Yarrowia lipolytica: one gene and its partner. The protein of the gene in region 1 interacts with the protein of each later gene in a pairwise test. Links are inferred from orthologs where the notes say so. Each region holds a gene or a part of one and is shown on either strand. Other genes may lie near its edges.

Region 1 (7,119 bases):
GTTGGTGTTGACGTTGGCGGTGGCTCCGTTCGTGCCACCAGAAGGAGAGGGACATGTCGAGGCGTTGGTAGAAGGTGGGGGGTTAGTGGTGGGGTTGGAGGGAGCGCCAGGCGCGGAGGGCGCGGCGGCGGACCCGGTTGTGGGTGGCTCCGCTCCTCCAGCTTCTCCAGCAGTCACTCCTGGGGCTCCCGCTTGTGCTTCCTCGCCCTCGACCTTGACCTGGGGCTCAGGGCCAGCCCCGACAACAACCGGCGTGAAACCCATTGTAGCAGCAGACATAATATTCCTTCACGTGGGGCGTTCTATCCAAATCCTCCGCTGTCCAAGCCGACTGTGGGGTTTTTGTGTTTCAAGGTGATGCAAAATTTTCCTATCGCTCACTATCGGCTATTTTGGTTATCGATATCATCCCGATTGGGATGTGGGTAGGGGTTGTGGTAGAGTTAGTGGGGAAATGAACTCGAAGATAGAAGATCAATTTTAGACGAGTAGATGATAATGTCCGTAAGATGTAAAAATATGTATAATATTTATTGGGACGATCTTCTAATTTAGATATTTTTAAATTTCTTATATCTCCAGTTTTGAAATTTATATGGATTTAATTCTCCGTTTTCACACCAAGTTTCTTTCTCCCAATACCCCCTTTAAACACTCACGTGAGTCCCAAACTTTATTGAGAAGACTTTGCAAAATAATATCTGTAAATTCGGACAGCGATTGAATCGCGGTAATAAGGGTATCATAAAACAAGTTAAACCGGGACGATTCCAAGTATGTATTTTTTCCACATGTTTTCCCCTCCAGCGCTCTTCTACACACCCCTCAACCAAATGGAAACCTCCAGAACCTAAACTTCAAATTAAGGTTCCATCAACAAAGCACATAATCATGTGACAGTGCAGATTTTAATCTTCTCTTATTGGTCAGTGCTAGATAGTGCACGTATTGCGTGATAAGAAACAGCGTGAAACGGGCCAATACGAAGAGAAGAAAATTCCCCAAAAAATCCAGGACATTCTCCTGCGAGATCAAAACTCACTTGCGTCAAATCTGCGATTTTCTGACCAAGGTTGCTATTTGTTTGCGCTCTTTTTTCATCTCCCCCACCTTGCACGATAAGATAACCTATCTAGAAACTATAAATTTGAAGGACACGCGATAGGTGATAACGTCACGTGATAATAAAGAGGATGGAGATAAACCAAAGTCGATGGGGAAGACGGCGGGGATTTCCAAACAAGAAATAATCAAATACTAGCACGTGAGGAGAGTCTGAGGGTGAGGGGGTTTCAATCACGTGACTCGTATTGGTGTCAGGGCAATTCTTCCAAGTTTTTGAAATCCCTGTAGGGTTATTGGTTACCCGGACATGGGGGAGGCTGGTGTCAAAAAAAAACATACCAGCCGTAAAAACTTTTACCCGGAGGAGGTAGGGTAAATGTTGGTTGAAAGCAGTGGGATTAGTAAGGAAAAAGAAATGTGAATGGAAATTTTGAAGGAAAATTAATTTGAAGGAAAATGTGACGGAGAAATTTGACGAAAAATGCGAAAGGAGAACTGTGCAAGGAGAAATGTGAAAAGAGAAATTGGGAGAACAAAAACTTGTGTACTTGTTGGGTGGTATTGGAGATATGGGATAACAGAAACGGTCTATTAGGATTCTAGATATGATAAATCCAACGGTCAACTCCTCGCTTTTGTCGGAGGCGCGATTCTCCTGTTATAAGCCATACTCTTCTCTCACAACGGTGTTGTCATACAATGATATAGCTGTTTTGGTTACAGAAATACCAGTGTCCATGTAGGTCGAACCTTTTGTTGCTTGGTATGTTGACTCTTTCTCCTTCTCCTGTTTTGATTCTAACAGACTAACTGTCTGTCTCCAATACTTGTAAAAGTCGTCAGTACAGACCCAGCTCTGCGGTCAATGAACAGACACAGTTGAGGACTCAAGAGTTCAAATTCGTGTTAAAAAAAAAAGCATTCAAATACACTCAAAGTCGCCTAGCTTAGTCATTCTCTGTCGGTGGATCTTGAGAGCCCGTGTTGTATGTTGTTCAGACATACGTTGATGGACACAACAGAACATAACGGTGTCTTGAACAATAGCAAGAGTTTTATAAATCTCGCCAAATGGATGTAGCCATTGGTTGAAACGTTCATTGAAACATCTCTGATACTTCCTCCTATCGCCAGAACATGTTTATGACCATCCAAAGGCCTCCTTTTTGAAAACAAAAGTCACTAGTAAACTGCCCTACCACAGCTTGGAAACCTGGGAAATTATCATCTGGCGAGATCCAGTGAACAGTCTGGCGACATAAAATAACTTCATTCTTCTCTTCAGCTCGATATTGTGCAACAAGCACATCATAGCCAGAGTCCTCACTGCTGAACGCCCGTCCTCTACAATTAATAGAGCCATTGACAACCTGGAGACTTAACAGAAGTCCTTCTAGCATCATTTGCTGCCATATTTAAAAAAATCAGCTCTCTGCCACAATTTTTCGAGCTCGATTGTAAGAGTCGAACCAGTTTTCAAAAACCTATCTCCGCCTAGTTGGACTTTAGTTAAGACTGAAAGTGACCTGGGGGTCCAAATAATGGGTTCCAGGGAAGCGACCAAAACATAACCACTACCATTCAATTTAGCTCTCAACGCCTCATTTCCTCATCCCAAGTTCACCCTACTTTCTCATACAATATTTCCACATACTCGCACTTCCGTATCCGGCTCGTACTCAAATTTACTTATCCTGTACTTGACCTTTCCCAACAGAATCCCAACAGAACATATCCACCAAGTCATAACCTATCCCGATCCAAATCTACACACATTATGTTTCTCTCTCTCTCTTAATTGCTCATAACCTGTAGTTGGTCACGTGCCTTATCACGTTCACCGAACACCAATTATTCCACACGCGCGAGCTGAGGTTCATGCATGAGTGCCCATCCAACCACATTTGATTATAATATTTAGAGTTCCTAGGGTGGACTTAGTAATCGTAGACGGGGCCATTTATCTGGCGATGTAGTAGTCCAAATACAAAAATAATTACATGGCCATTTTCTCCTCATTCAGATGTTCATTTTGATACCCCCAACCCCCCAAATTGTCACACCTGCATGTTCACATATCAGATCCTCCAAACCCCCACCCCAACCTTTCCTCTACACACAGCAATGTCCGACGTAACGCATTTTTCGAAAGTCGTGGCGGCCACGGCGTCGACGTTGGTGTCGGGCGATCTGAGCCAGAGTCACGTGATGCGCGACATTTCGCGGCCCGCGTTCCAGAAGCGAATTTTTTCCTTCTCGAAGCGGCCGTCCGAGTTGGTTCGCATCACCTCTTCTTCCAAGGACGTTTTGTTGCCGGATGAGATGCTGGTGGACATTCCCAGCAACGAAAATCAGTTTTCGCTGTTTCAGGGCTTCCAGGCCACGCTTCCGGAGCACTCTGTGGGCTCTCAGCTGCTTCTGGGGGATGGATCAAAAGTCGGCGAAAAAAGTGCTCGAGAACAGCTGGTGGAGGGCAAGAAGAGCCTGAGTCACAAGCTGGACTTGTTGGAGGTGCGCAAGGCACTGGCGGCAAATGAAATCACCGAGATTGACGCTCGAGTGGCGCACTTGCAGTCCATGCGACAGATTGTGTTTGACAGAGTGGCGTCTTTGGAGCAGCAGGAGTTCCAGCTGGAAAGTGAAGTGCTGCGAATCGATGCAGAGCTGGAACAGATGGAGGAGGAGAAGGAGGAGGTAATCCAGAGACATGATTACGAGACCCGAACCCCGGAGGAGTTGGAGGATGATGTGGTCGATCTGAAGAGTGTGTCTGAGAAACTACAGAGCGCAAGTCAAAAGACCCTTCCCCGACGAAACCTCAGCCGACGAAAAACGCAACCCACTCTGCAACAGTACTACGAGCCAGGCAACAAGATCCGACAAATCAAAGCGCATTCCGATTCGGTCACGTGCCTGGACTTTGACATTCCGTTCGGAACCATGGTTTCTGCAGGCATGGATCTGGGACTCAAGGTGTGGGACCTGTCACGTGGCGATCTCGTGACCGATCTCAAGGGCCACAATGCATCAGTTACGTGTCTTCAGGTCGACAATAACGTGCTTGCCACCGGATCAGCTGACGCTACCATTCGGGTCTGGAACCTCGACCAGGTGGTTAGTAATCCCGATGCCCAGGATGAAGGTGATGATGCCTACACCATTCACGTGCTCGACAGTCACGTGGGTGAAATCTCTGCCATTCATTTCTCAGACCATACGCTGGTGTCTGGTTCTGCTGACAAAACCATTCGACAATGGGATCTCAACACTGGACGATGTGTTCAGACTCTGGACGTGATTTGGGCCAATTCTGCGCAGAATGCGCTGTACTCGAACGATCGGCTCCGAACCGGGTTCGACGCAAACGCACCCTTCATCGGCGCAGTGCAGTGCAGAGATGCAGCCCTTGCCACCGGTACCGCTGACGGTATTGTGCGTCTTTGGGATTTGCGGTCCGGACAGGTGCAGCGAACCCTACAGGGCCATACCGCTGCGGTAACGTGTCTGCAGTTTGACGACGTGCATCTTGCAACCGGATCTCGTGACCGGTCTGTTCGAATCTGGGATCTGCGAATGGGCAACATCTTTGACGCGTTTGCGTATGATTCGCCCATTACTTCGTTGGATTTCGACAACCGAAGAATCGCCAGTACCAATGGAGAAAACACCGTCAAGATTTATGACAGAGCAGCTGAGAAGCATTGGAGTCTGGGTCGAGGAGAGGGAGATCCCGAGGCGCCAGAAAGCACGGTGGTGAAGACCAAGGAAGGCTATTTGGTGGAAGGTGGTGGAGATGGAGTGGTGGGTGTGTGGGCCTGTTAGTACTAGCGATGCGAGTACTAATAATTTTGGGATCATGAGCGGAGCGAATTGTTTCATTTCACGGGACATTGTGAGCGAAGCTAGGTCGTGGAATCGTGAGAAGACAAATGGTCTCAACTACTCTCATGGGTGCCACCGAAAATGAGCGGAGCAGAGGCCCTCAATGCTGCCAGAGATGTTTGCTGTCTTCACCATTTGCAGCAATGAAAATGGGTGGTGTAGACTGTGTCTCGTGTCCGGAATCATGTTGACAGTTGGTGTGAGGCAGACTGAACTTGCCCGTTACTGCTACTCAGCAGTTGATGTTTGGCTTACCATAAGAGTGTCAACCGCCCCACAGTTTTCTTTCCAGGTGTTTTTACCCACAGTCAGCTATCCAGGAAAAGCCCAGAGAGGCAATATGTATATAAGATAGATTGAGTGTGATGACCGGAAGTGAGTGGCTCAAATCCACCAGATAGCAATTCGTAAACGTGTTGTAGATTACTGGTGATACCTGAACTGGTTATAGAGTATACCCCACGGGATATAAGGCACTAGAGAGCCCCAATCGTCAACTGAGTCAGTTCTGAAAATTTTTTTTTTTTTTTTTTTTTTTTTTTTTTTTTGCTAGGAGTGATAAGATGTGGCCCCTATGTTGTCTCGGTGGGTCCCATGACTCCATCTCCACCAACTCCGTATTATCAGGTGCTCAGTCACTAGTCATTCATTGCAAGAACCAATAAAGAGCACTGGCGTTGTACTAGAAGAAGCGACACGGTAGTTATTTTGACCCTACCGTTTTATCAGTGAAAACTTGGTCTGTAGTCCAGTGGAGAGTCCATGAATGGGCATATTGAGATCTAGCTCCAATTGGATGAAAGATGCACTTTGAGGGACCTTTTTGGTATTTTTTGCATGTATTCGGATGGACGTTCTTGCCAATCGACCACCCTATAGTGGCAAATGAGGCCTGGTAAGGTACAAGTATTATTTCATCGGTACATCTGCTGGAATTCTACTGAATCTCCTTCCACCAACTCGTAGTTTCTTGACTAAATGGGTGCATCATTTTGTGAGCATGAAAAGAAGGAACGGAAGATGTCATTAGTACATTGAGAAAACTCCCCCGTTGCATCCAGCATCATGGAGGCACTCTCAAATCAACCCATATAACTCATGAGCGTCATTGTCCCATATCGACACAACTTTCATCGATTGTAACCTCATTTCAGCACATCATCTTGCCGGTGCATTATCTCGCATTATCTCTGCACACTATCTTGGCTCTCATCTCTATCTACAGGCCGCCGGTTATCGACGTGCAAGCTTGCTGAACTCAAGACATGCACGTTTCGACACGGCCTGATTCCGCTGCTAATACTACCAGTAGCAAAAGAGTTGTCTCGTCAGGATAACCGTTTGACTTTTGGATCTTGTACTGTCATACAAGATCCCATGCGGCTCGTGGCAACATGTCGCACTGGCTCTCGCAATGTTTAACGACAAAGTGCTGCTTCGAGACTCGGGGTCTGGGAGATAGTCAATATGGACCCTGAAAAGGTCTTGTGCCATTAAAAGGACTTGTGCCAATGTGGACTTGTGCCAATGTGGACTTTGAGAACGCCACAGGCGACGTCCGGAAGTAATTTGTATTGTTCCACCACAATCAAGTGGTCTGTTTAAGAGTTTGTGCGTGTGTGGGCACCAATTAGCCACAGGGTTGTGGTGGCCTGTTCACAGGCGGGTATAACTGGGTATTGCTAAGAAGCCACGAAAAATGTAGTCCATGTGGACTTGTCAAGAGGAGCGGGCAAGCTACCGCGGCGCATCTGAGCCACTGCGGAAAGGTGGGTTCGAAAAGACGCTGCCACGTCGAAGTAGCTGCCAAATGGAATCAGAAAGCTGTGTTAGATAGAAATGTGCCCCGTCGAAGATGGACTTGCGCTACTGTAGTCCGATTACGTCGGCGAAGGGCGTGGGGGCTCTTTGGGCTGTGTATGTGTATGTGTGTTAACACCTGAAGGCCGGCTCAGGCGGGGCGCGTTGGCTGGCGATTGGGAGGTGGGAGATGGGGGGGTTTTAGTACTTTTCCGTCGGTGGAATAGAATTTCAAACTGCATATATTGAACTCTGGGTTTAGATTAGGTCAAATGGACTTGAGCGAGTGAGGGAACATCATAAGCGGCGTTGATAGTGCGGTTATTTAGTATATATAGTGGGAATGGTTCGGTTTCTGCTGCTGACTAAAAT
Region 2 (7,061 bases), on another chromosome or scaffold:
TGGCTCGTTTCCAGTATGAAGCACATCGTTCGATTCGATTGAGTCCTCGTTTGATAGCCATGGTACTTTCGCTCTTTTCGCCCACGTAGTAGAAGAATGCTCGTAGCCAGTGTCTTCTGTAGTATTCAGCTTCATAGGCTAGACTGAACCCTGTAGCTCGCATGAGATCGGCTGTGAAGGCCCGTTTGTTCTGTAGAACGTCGTCCAGTTTGGTCTGAATATTCGCCACAAACTTCTCTGAGAAGCCAAACGACGGCATTCCGGCCTTTCGACATTTGTGCCACGTCTTATCCGTCTTGATTTCTTCACTATCTCCGTCCAGATCCACCATCAGCAGCTGTGTGAACCACTCAACTTGTTTCTGGATGTCTTTAGTGGTTCCATTGAGTTGAGAATCAAGAAGAATCTGTTGGTGAGAAGATACGGGGAAGAACTGTTTGAGCACCTCAGTCACCAGAGCAGCGTCCAGGGGGAAAGACTTGTCCTCCTTCTTGCTCTTTTTGAATGGCCACAGTTTAGACTGAAAGTGGGCCTCTCGACACTCCAGTAAGAGCTGGAAGATGGGCACTTGACCCACAAACTCGGACTCTTGAAATGCAGCAAAACACGACTCGACGAAAGTCACAGGATGTTCGGTTCCCTCTTTGAGACTGGGAAGCACAGAATCACCCGTGTTGTTGTACAGTTCTCGAGTTTGGGGGTCTCTCAGAATCTGGTAGGCGTAACTGACGGCTGACAGGGACTCCAGATGATGCAAGCTGTAGAGAGTCTTGTTGAGAAACGCCTGGTCAATCTGCTCTTGCGTGGAGTACGGAGACGTCTCCAGAAGCTGGTGGAGCTTCAGGTTGACGAGCGACATGTCTCTTTGAGTGAGTTGTGAGGGTGGCGGCGGTATGGAGTCTTCAGCAGCATGGATGCATTTATAGCAATATCAAGGTTTGAAGCCATCACCGCCACAAACAAAAAAAAAAAAAAAAAAAAGGGCATTGAGCGAATGTGGACGGGGTCTTTTTATTTGCCAACATATGGTAGTGAATTTGTGAAACTGGTCACGTGATATTATCTGGACTATTTCTTTTCTACTTGAGTATGTCATTGCCCCTTGCTGTGACTGACATACTGTAGGCTACAAGTAGGCTACAATGTAGTGGTAGGTCTCCGTATTATCGCCATCTTGGTGCATGCAGGTGATTGTTTCATGCACTGACGATGACCCAAGCAAGTATTTCACATGTCCATTTTGTAGGGTTTGCGCGAGAGAAACTTTTTGAAAGCACGTTTACTGTGTATGCCTTGTCGCCAGATGTTCTTTGTCACCTCCTGTTGTTTATAGGCCCATTTCATCATTCTAAATACAGGCGACCTTTTCGTGTCACGCTTCCCTTTTTTTCAACTCAATCTTGAAAACAGGGTGCTCCCTCAGTTTGTTGAGGATTAGTTAAGACAAAGATCAGCTAGGGGTTCATTTTCGGTGTTGCGACAATGTTGGGATTCTGGATAATACACTGATACATAGAGGGAAGCTGTGTTTTAAACAAATTCTTGAAAATATATGTATGTTCCGATACCAATTTTTCGTAATATCTCCGTTATTGGACTTGCCATTTCACATGCTTTGTTGAAAGTTTGGTTAACTTTTACTTTAGTTCGTTTATTCAAACCCAGCCTTTTCTACAGTGGTATGATCAAGCTACAGTATGGACATACTATGCAGTCATTGTACAAGTACAGCTACAGCAGTGGGAAAGAAGTCATATTGAAGCTACCTTGTTGCGCTCTGCAACCCCGTTTATCTCTAGGCATCATACATTCCACCTCAAATCAATATCATGTTATCATTTACAGAGTACCGTTCTTCTTAGCCTCGGCGTAAGCTCGAACAGACTTGAAGTCATCAACGGCAGGCTTGATCCAGGGATCCTTCTTGAGGAAAACGGGCTCCTCGTCGGGTCGCAGACCAGGGATCTTCTTCTCGAGGTTCAGCTTGGTGAAAACACACTTGTTGAGCAGAGCCTCGGCCTTTCGGCAGCCACTGAGCTGGTGGTTGTTCTGCTCCAGACACTGCCAGTGGAGTCGGAACTCGTCAAGACAGCTCTTGTTGATGTCCTCAATGACGGAGACGGCACATCGGGTGACTCGTCGGCCCTCCTTGAGACAGTCGATGGCGCCAGAGCCCTGGGACTCTTCTCTGCACAGCATGAAGTCATCGTTGTAGGGCTTGCACTTGGCGCCAATGAAGTAGGATGCAGACAGAAGAGGAGCGGAGGTAGCTCCAACCTCGACAACGTCGGGCACGTTGTCGGGCATGTTAGCTTTGTCCTCAAATGGGACCCAGTGGGCGGCAGCTTCTCGGGGCCTGCGTTAGTGTCTAATTATGGTATAGATGAGATCGGAGTAAAGACTGAGGGGTTGAAGGGACCTCACTCCAACAAGTAATAAGGAGAATTGACTCATGGCAATTGGTGTATCATGATGAGGTTGTTGGGTAAAACATTGTGGTTGTGTCGACAGTAGTGCAGGACGTTCTTGGTGTTTGTGTTTAGTAAATGAACTCATGTCTCAAGACGCCAAAATTGATCATCACAGGGTCTAAGAATCACCGTCATCAACCTGTTCTAGTTCCCTGGCAACTCTTGCTCCATCTTCACATATGTCCTTATCGTACCGTGCACCATGTCAAAAATTCCACAACCCCACGAATGGCTCCATAATTCGATATCCTCGGGCACAAAAACCATCCATGTTGATTTATTGGCGTTTATCTCCCTTGTCCACAACATTTCGGCTTTTCAAGACTGTCGGAATGCCCGTCATAAAAACGTATCTCGCCATGTTCCATGATCTCAGCCTACGGAGACCAACAAAGCCAAGTGGGTCCAATTCCCGGCTCGAAACACCCTCATTTGACTCCCTGGCGTCCCTTATCACCTTCCCCAGGCCCTCCTGGTTTCCCTGGAATACTCACATTTTGATGTGTTAGCTGATGCTCAAAGGCTTACTACAGTCTACATTTCTCTCACGCAGATTGGTTGATGGTTCCGTCGGCCGGGTAAGTGGGAGTTGTGGTTACTAAGCTTTGGTTCTGCCACTACGGTATTTCGTGTGTGTTGTGTGTTTGAGGTTTATCACTTTTAGACTTTGTAGTGACGCCGGGTGCAACTACATTTTTATCTATATTGCGTCTGGGCAAAAAACAGAACCACAGGCATCATGTTTGGCAACACCAACCAACAGTCAGGCGGCTTTTCGTTTGGTCAAAATAACACCAATTCGGCCGGTAACAACAACGCGGGAGGAATGAGCTCGGGATTCAAGTTTGGAGCCGGCTCGGCAGCCACTAGCAACAACACCAACTCCTCAGGAGGAGGACTGTTTGGCCAGAACAACAACAACACGTCTGGCAACACGGGCGGTGGATTGTTTGGCCAGAACAATGCCAACACTGGAAATACCGGCACCACCGGCGCCTCTGGCGGTCTGTTTGGTCAGAACAACACCAACACCAACACCAACACCGGAGGAGGCCTGTTTGGAAACAATGTCAATACAAACACCAATACCAACACCAACACCGGCGGAGGAGGTCTGTTTGGAAACACCAACAATGCGAACACAAACACAAACACTGGCGGAGGATTGTTTGGTCAGAACAACAATAACGCTACTACGAACACCAACACAACTGGAGGCGGACTGTTCGGCCAGAACAACACAAACACAAACACAAACACGGGCGGTGGGCTGTTTGGCAACAACGCCAATACCAACACAAACACCGGAGGTGGCTTGTTCGGTAACAACAATGCCAACACAAACACAAACACCAACACTGGAGGGCTTTTCGGAAACAACAATGCGAACACCAACACTGGAGGAGGGCTCTTTGGCAACAACAACGCCAACAATGCAAACACAAACACAAACACGGGAGGGTTCTTTGGAAACAACAATGCAAACAACAACGTGGGCGGTTTTGGTCAACAACAACAGCAGCAGCAGCAACAAGCTGGTTTCGGTCAGTTGACCAAGACCAATCAGCCCTCCGGTCCTTCTGTTCAGGCCCAGCTGACCCGAATCAAGGACGGATGGGACCCCACCTCCCCCAATTGTGCATTCCAATTCTACTTCTACAACCGAATCCCTCTGGATGATATTCCCTACTACCAGATGCCACAAGGTCAGTCTCCTGAGAAGTGGGACAAGGCTGTTGCTGAGCGACCATACAAATCGTCTGTGCCTGTCCTGGCCGTGGGCTTCACCGATCTGCAGAAGCGAACCAAGCAGCAGGAGCAGCAGGTCGGCGTGTACCGGGTTAGAATGCATGAAGTCAACAACAAGCTTGACGAGCTAACCAACAAGCACGATCTTGTGACTACCGTGAAGATTGCCGAGATGCGGGCTCGTCACCAGCGGCTCGTTAACCGAACTGTTGCTCTTGCAGCAGTTACCCAGGTGCTCCGAAACCGTGGGTATGTCCTCAAGCCCGAGGAGGAGGTGCTGCGAAAGAACCTCGTCCAGCTCAACGACAAGGTCACGGACCCGGCTGTGTTTGGCCGAATCAACGAGATCTGGGCACGTATGTCTGTTCTTAGAGAGCAGGCACGGCACGCTACCGACTCGCAGTCTAAGAAGGCTCCCGATGGCACCATATTGACATGGGAGCGGGACGAGGAGACTTTGGAGCAGTTGGCCAAGATTCTCAAGGACCAGCAGACGGGTATTGCATTCCTTGCCAAGGTGCTCAAGGAGGATATGGCTGAGGTTGAGAACAAGATCTCTAGTCTGGAGAAGAAATAAGAACAGTAGCTGGATCCATGTATGATAGCTACAACTAGACCATATTATAATTTTATACTGTACAATGTATTTCCCTTTGTCATCCCATGGTGATGCCTAATAATATGTACATGTATTCACACTATATTGAGAGTAGTTTAGAATCGACCCTTGATGAGCTCGAAAGCAAAGGGAGCTGAGTTAGTAAGGGAGTAGAAGGACAGGCTGTTCGTTGTGACCACCGATTGATATGTCTCATGATTGCTTTTCGCCACATAAATAGTGTTGTTCAGTCACATGGAGGGCGGTCGTCTTGTTGTGTTGCCAACTGTGATGTGCCATCAATACTCACCAGTCCACAGACCAATGGCGAGGTACAGAGCGTTCTGCAGGGTTCGCTGGGTCATGAGGTTGTACTTTCGAATATCTTCGTCGGAAATCTGGGGCTGGCCACCGAACATTGTTGATTGATTTGGATATTGATGTAGTCTCGCTGTTGTGAGCTACTTAGTGGTAGAAGTATTTTAAGAACCCTAACCTGAAGTTTGACTGAGTGGGGGTGGGGGGGGGGGAGTATGATGACGCTGTTATTTCGTGCTTGGTCGAGATGTGGGCAGCTCTTGAGGCTACAAGTACTGTTTGTTTGGCTATTTGTATCTCTCTTTTACAATTTCCCTATTTTTGGAGCATTTATGAGAATCCCTTTGGTGTGTGGTCTATGGGTCTTTCTTTGGTGGGTTCGAAGAGTATCGAAAGTTGGGACTTGTCTTACGTAACGCATCATTTGGATGTGTGATGGTGGAGGTTGTCAAGTGTCTGAAATTACATATAATAAGCTGTAAAGCTGTCATATAAGCAAATAAGTGACTCTGGTTCGACTGAGGGGTTTTTTGACCGTCGCAAACAACGCACTCGTTCTACACTATCGTCTCCTTTCTAACCCTAACCCCGACATCATGTTTTACTTTGACCAACATCCAGCAACGCCATCACCATACCGACACTATGAGTGACACAGAAAAGCCGATCAAGTCTGAGGAGCCCGTCGACGAGGGCGTGGACCGCGTTGACGAGGAGGAGAATGTTGAGGAACCTGCTGAGGATGTTGGAGAGGCTGCCGAGGAGGCTTCTGAAGCCCCAGAAGAAGCCCCTGCTGAAGCTGCTACTACTACAGAAGCTGCTCCTGCTGACGACGATGAGGACGACTCGGATCTGTCTGATCTTGATGAGGATGAGATCAAGAACGCCGCTATTGAGGACGACGACGACGACTATAACAAGCTGAGCGCCCACCGACGAAAGGTGCAAAGCTCAGGCAAGAAGACGCTCAAGAAGCGAGCCACCAAGGACTCGAGGGCCGCGGACGACGATGAGGACGAGATCGATCACTCACATATCGATTTGGACCCCAGCATGGCGCGACGACGGGAGATTGAGGCTCGGATCGACGCGGCCATGAAGCCTGCTTCTCAGCGACGAAAGAAGCTGGGAGAGGACGATATCGAGATGATGCAGGACGAGCGAATCTCCAATCTGCGGGAGAAGATGCGAAACGCGGCCATTGCCGACGCGGAATCCAACCGAGAGGGCCAGCCTGCCACACATAAGCTACAGCTGCTTCCCGAGGTCAAGGACGTGTTGCAGAAGCATCATTTGGCCGACTCAATTCTGGACAACAACTTGCTGGAGGCTGTACGAATCTGGCTGGAGCCTCTTCCCGATGCCTCTCTTCCTTCATACTCCATCCAGGAGGAACTGTTTGACGCTCTGGTCCGTCTGCCCATCAAGTCCATTCATCTGCGAGAATCCGGACTCGGAAAGGTGGTCACCTTCTACCGAAAGTCCAAGCAGCCGCAGCTGCGAATCAAGCGTATTGCAGACAAGCTTGTGGCAGACTGGACGCGCCCCATCATGGGCCGATCAGACAACTACCGAGAAAAGGTGGTGAGCACACGGTCGTTTGATCCCAGCACACAGGAGATTGCGCTGGCTGTGGCTGCCAAGCGAGCCCAGACGCTCAAGGACGGAACTCTGGCCGAAAAGCAGGCAGAGCGACGACGACGAGCCCATATCCCCTCTGCACAGCCCGCCAACTACCGTGTTGCACCCAAGAGCGAGATCATTCCTCAGAACCGTGGTGGCTCTACTAACGACATGACCTTCAAGCGGCTCAAGGGCAAGCTGGGCGTCACCAAGACTGGAAAGAAGAAGAGTGGAGTTAGTATCGAGGGTCGGGGTCTCAACGGCTAGATATGGATGAGGGTGCCATGAGGGCGATGGTCACA

What was found. The genes of interacting proteins can lie anywhere in the genome.
Region 2: the proteins of YALI1_C31281g (region 1) and YALI1_A21720g interact in a two-hybrid assay, tested with the Schizosaccharomyces pombe proteins (2 studies listed by BioGRID). The link is inferred for Yarrowia lipolytica from reciprocal best matches to the Schizosaccharomyces pombe genes mdv1 and nup44.

Annotation. Positions count from the first base shown.
Region 1 is NC_090772.1:3,124,969-3,132,087, forward strand, and holds YALI1_C31281g (uncharacterized protein), read left to right. Parts: upstream 1-3,132; coding exon 3,133-4,887; downstream 4,888-7,119. Other genes in the region: YALI1_C31252g (uncharacterized protein), read right to left, coding at 1-279; YALI1_C31299g (uncharacterized protein), read left to right, coding at 4,995-5,133, 5,184-5,302; YALI1_C31308g (uncharacterized protein), read left to right, coding at 5,833-5,912, 5,978-6,203; YALI1_C31315g (uncharacterized protein), read right to left, coding at 6,250-6,599, 6,642-6,657.
Region 2 is NC_090770.1:2,168,751-2,175,811, forward strand, and holds YALI1_A21720g (uncharacterized protein), read left to right. Parts: upstream 1-3,210; coding exon 3,211-4,797; downstream 4,798-7,061. Other genes in the region: YALI1_A21696g (uncharacterized protein), read right to left, coding at 1-859; YALI1_A21711g (uncharacterized protein), read right to left, coding at 1,840-2,307; YALI1_A21746g (uncharacterized protein), read left to right, coding at 5,782-7,026. UniProt on the Schizosaccharomyces pombe protein: Functions as a component of the nuclear pore complex (NPC).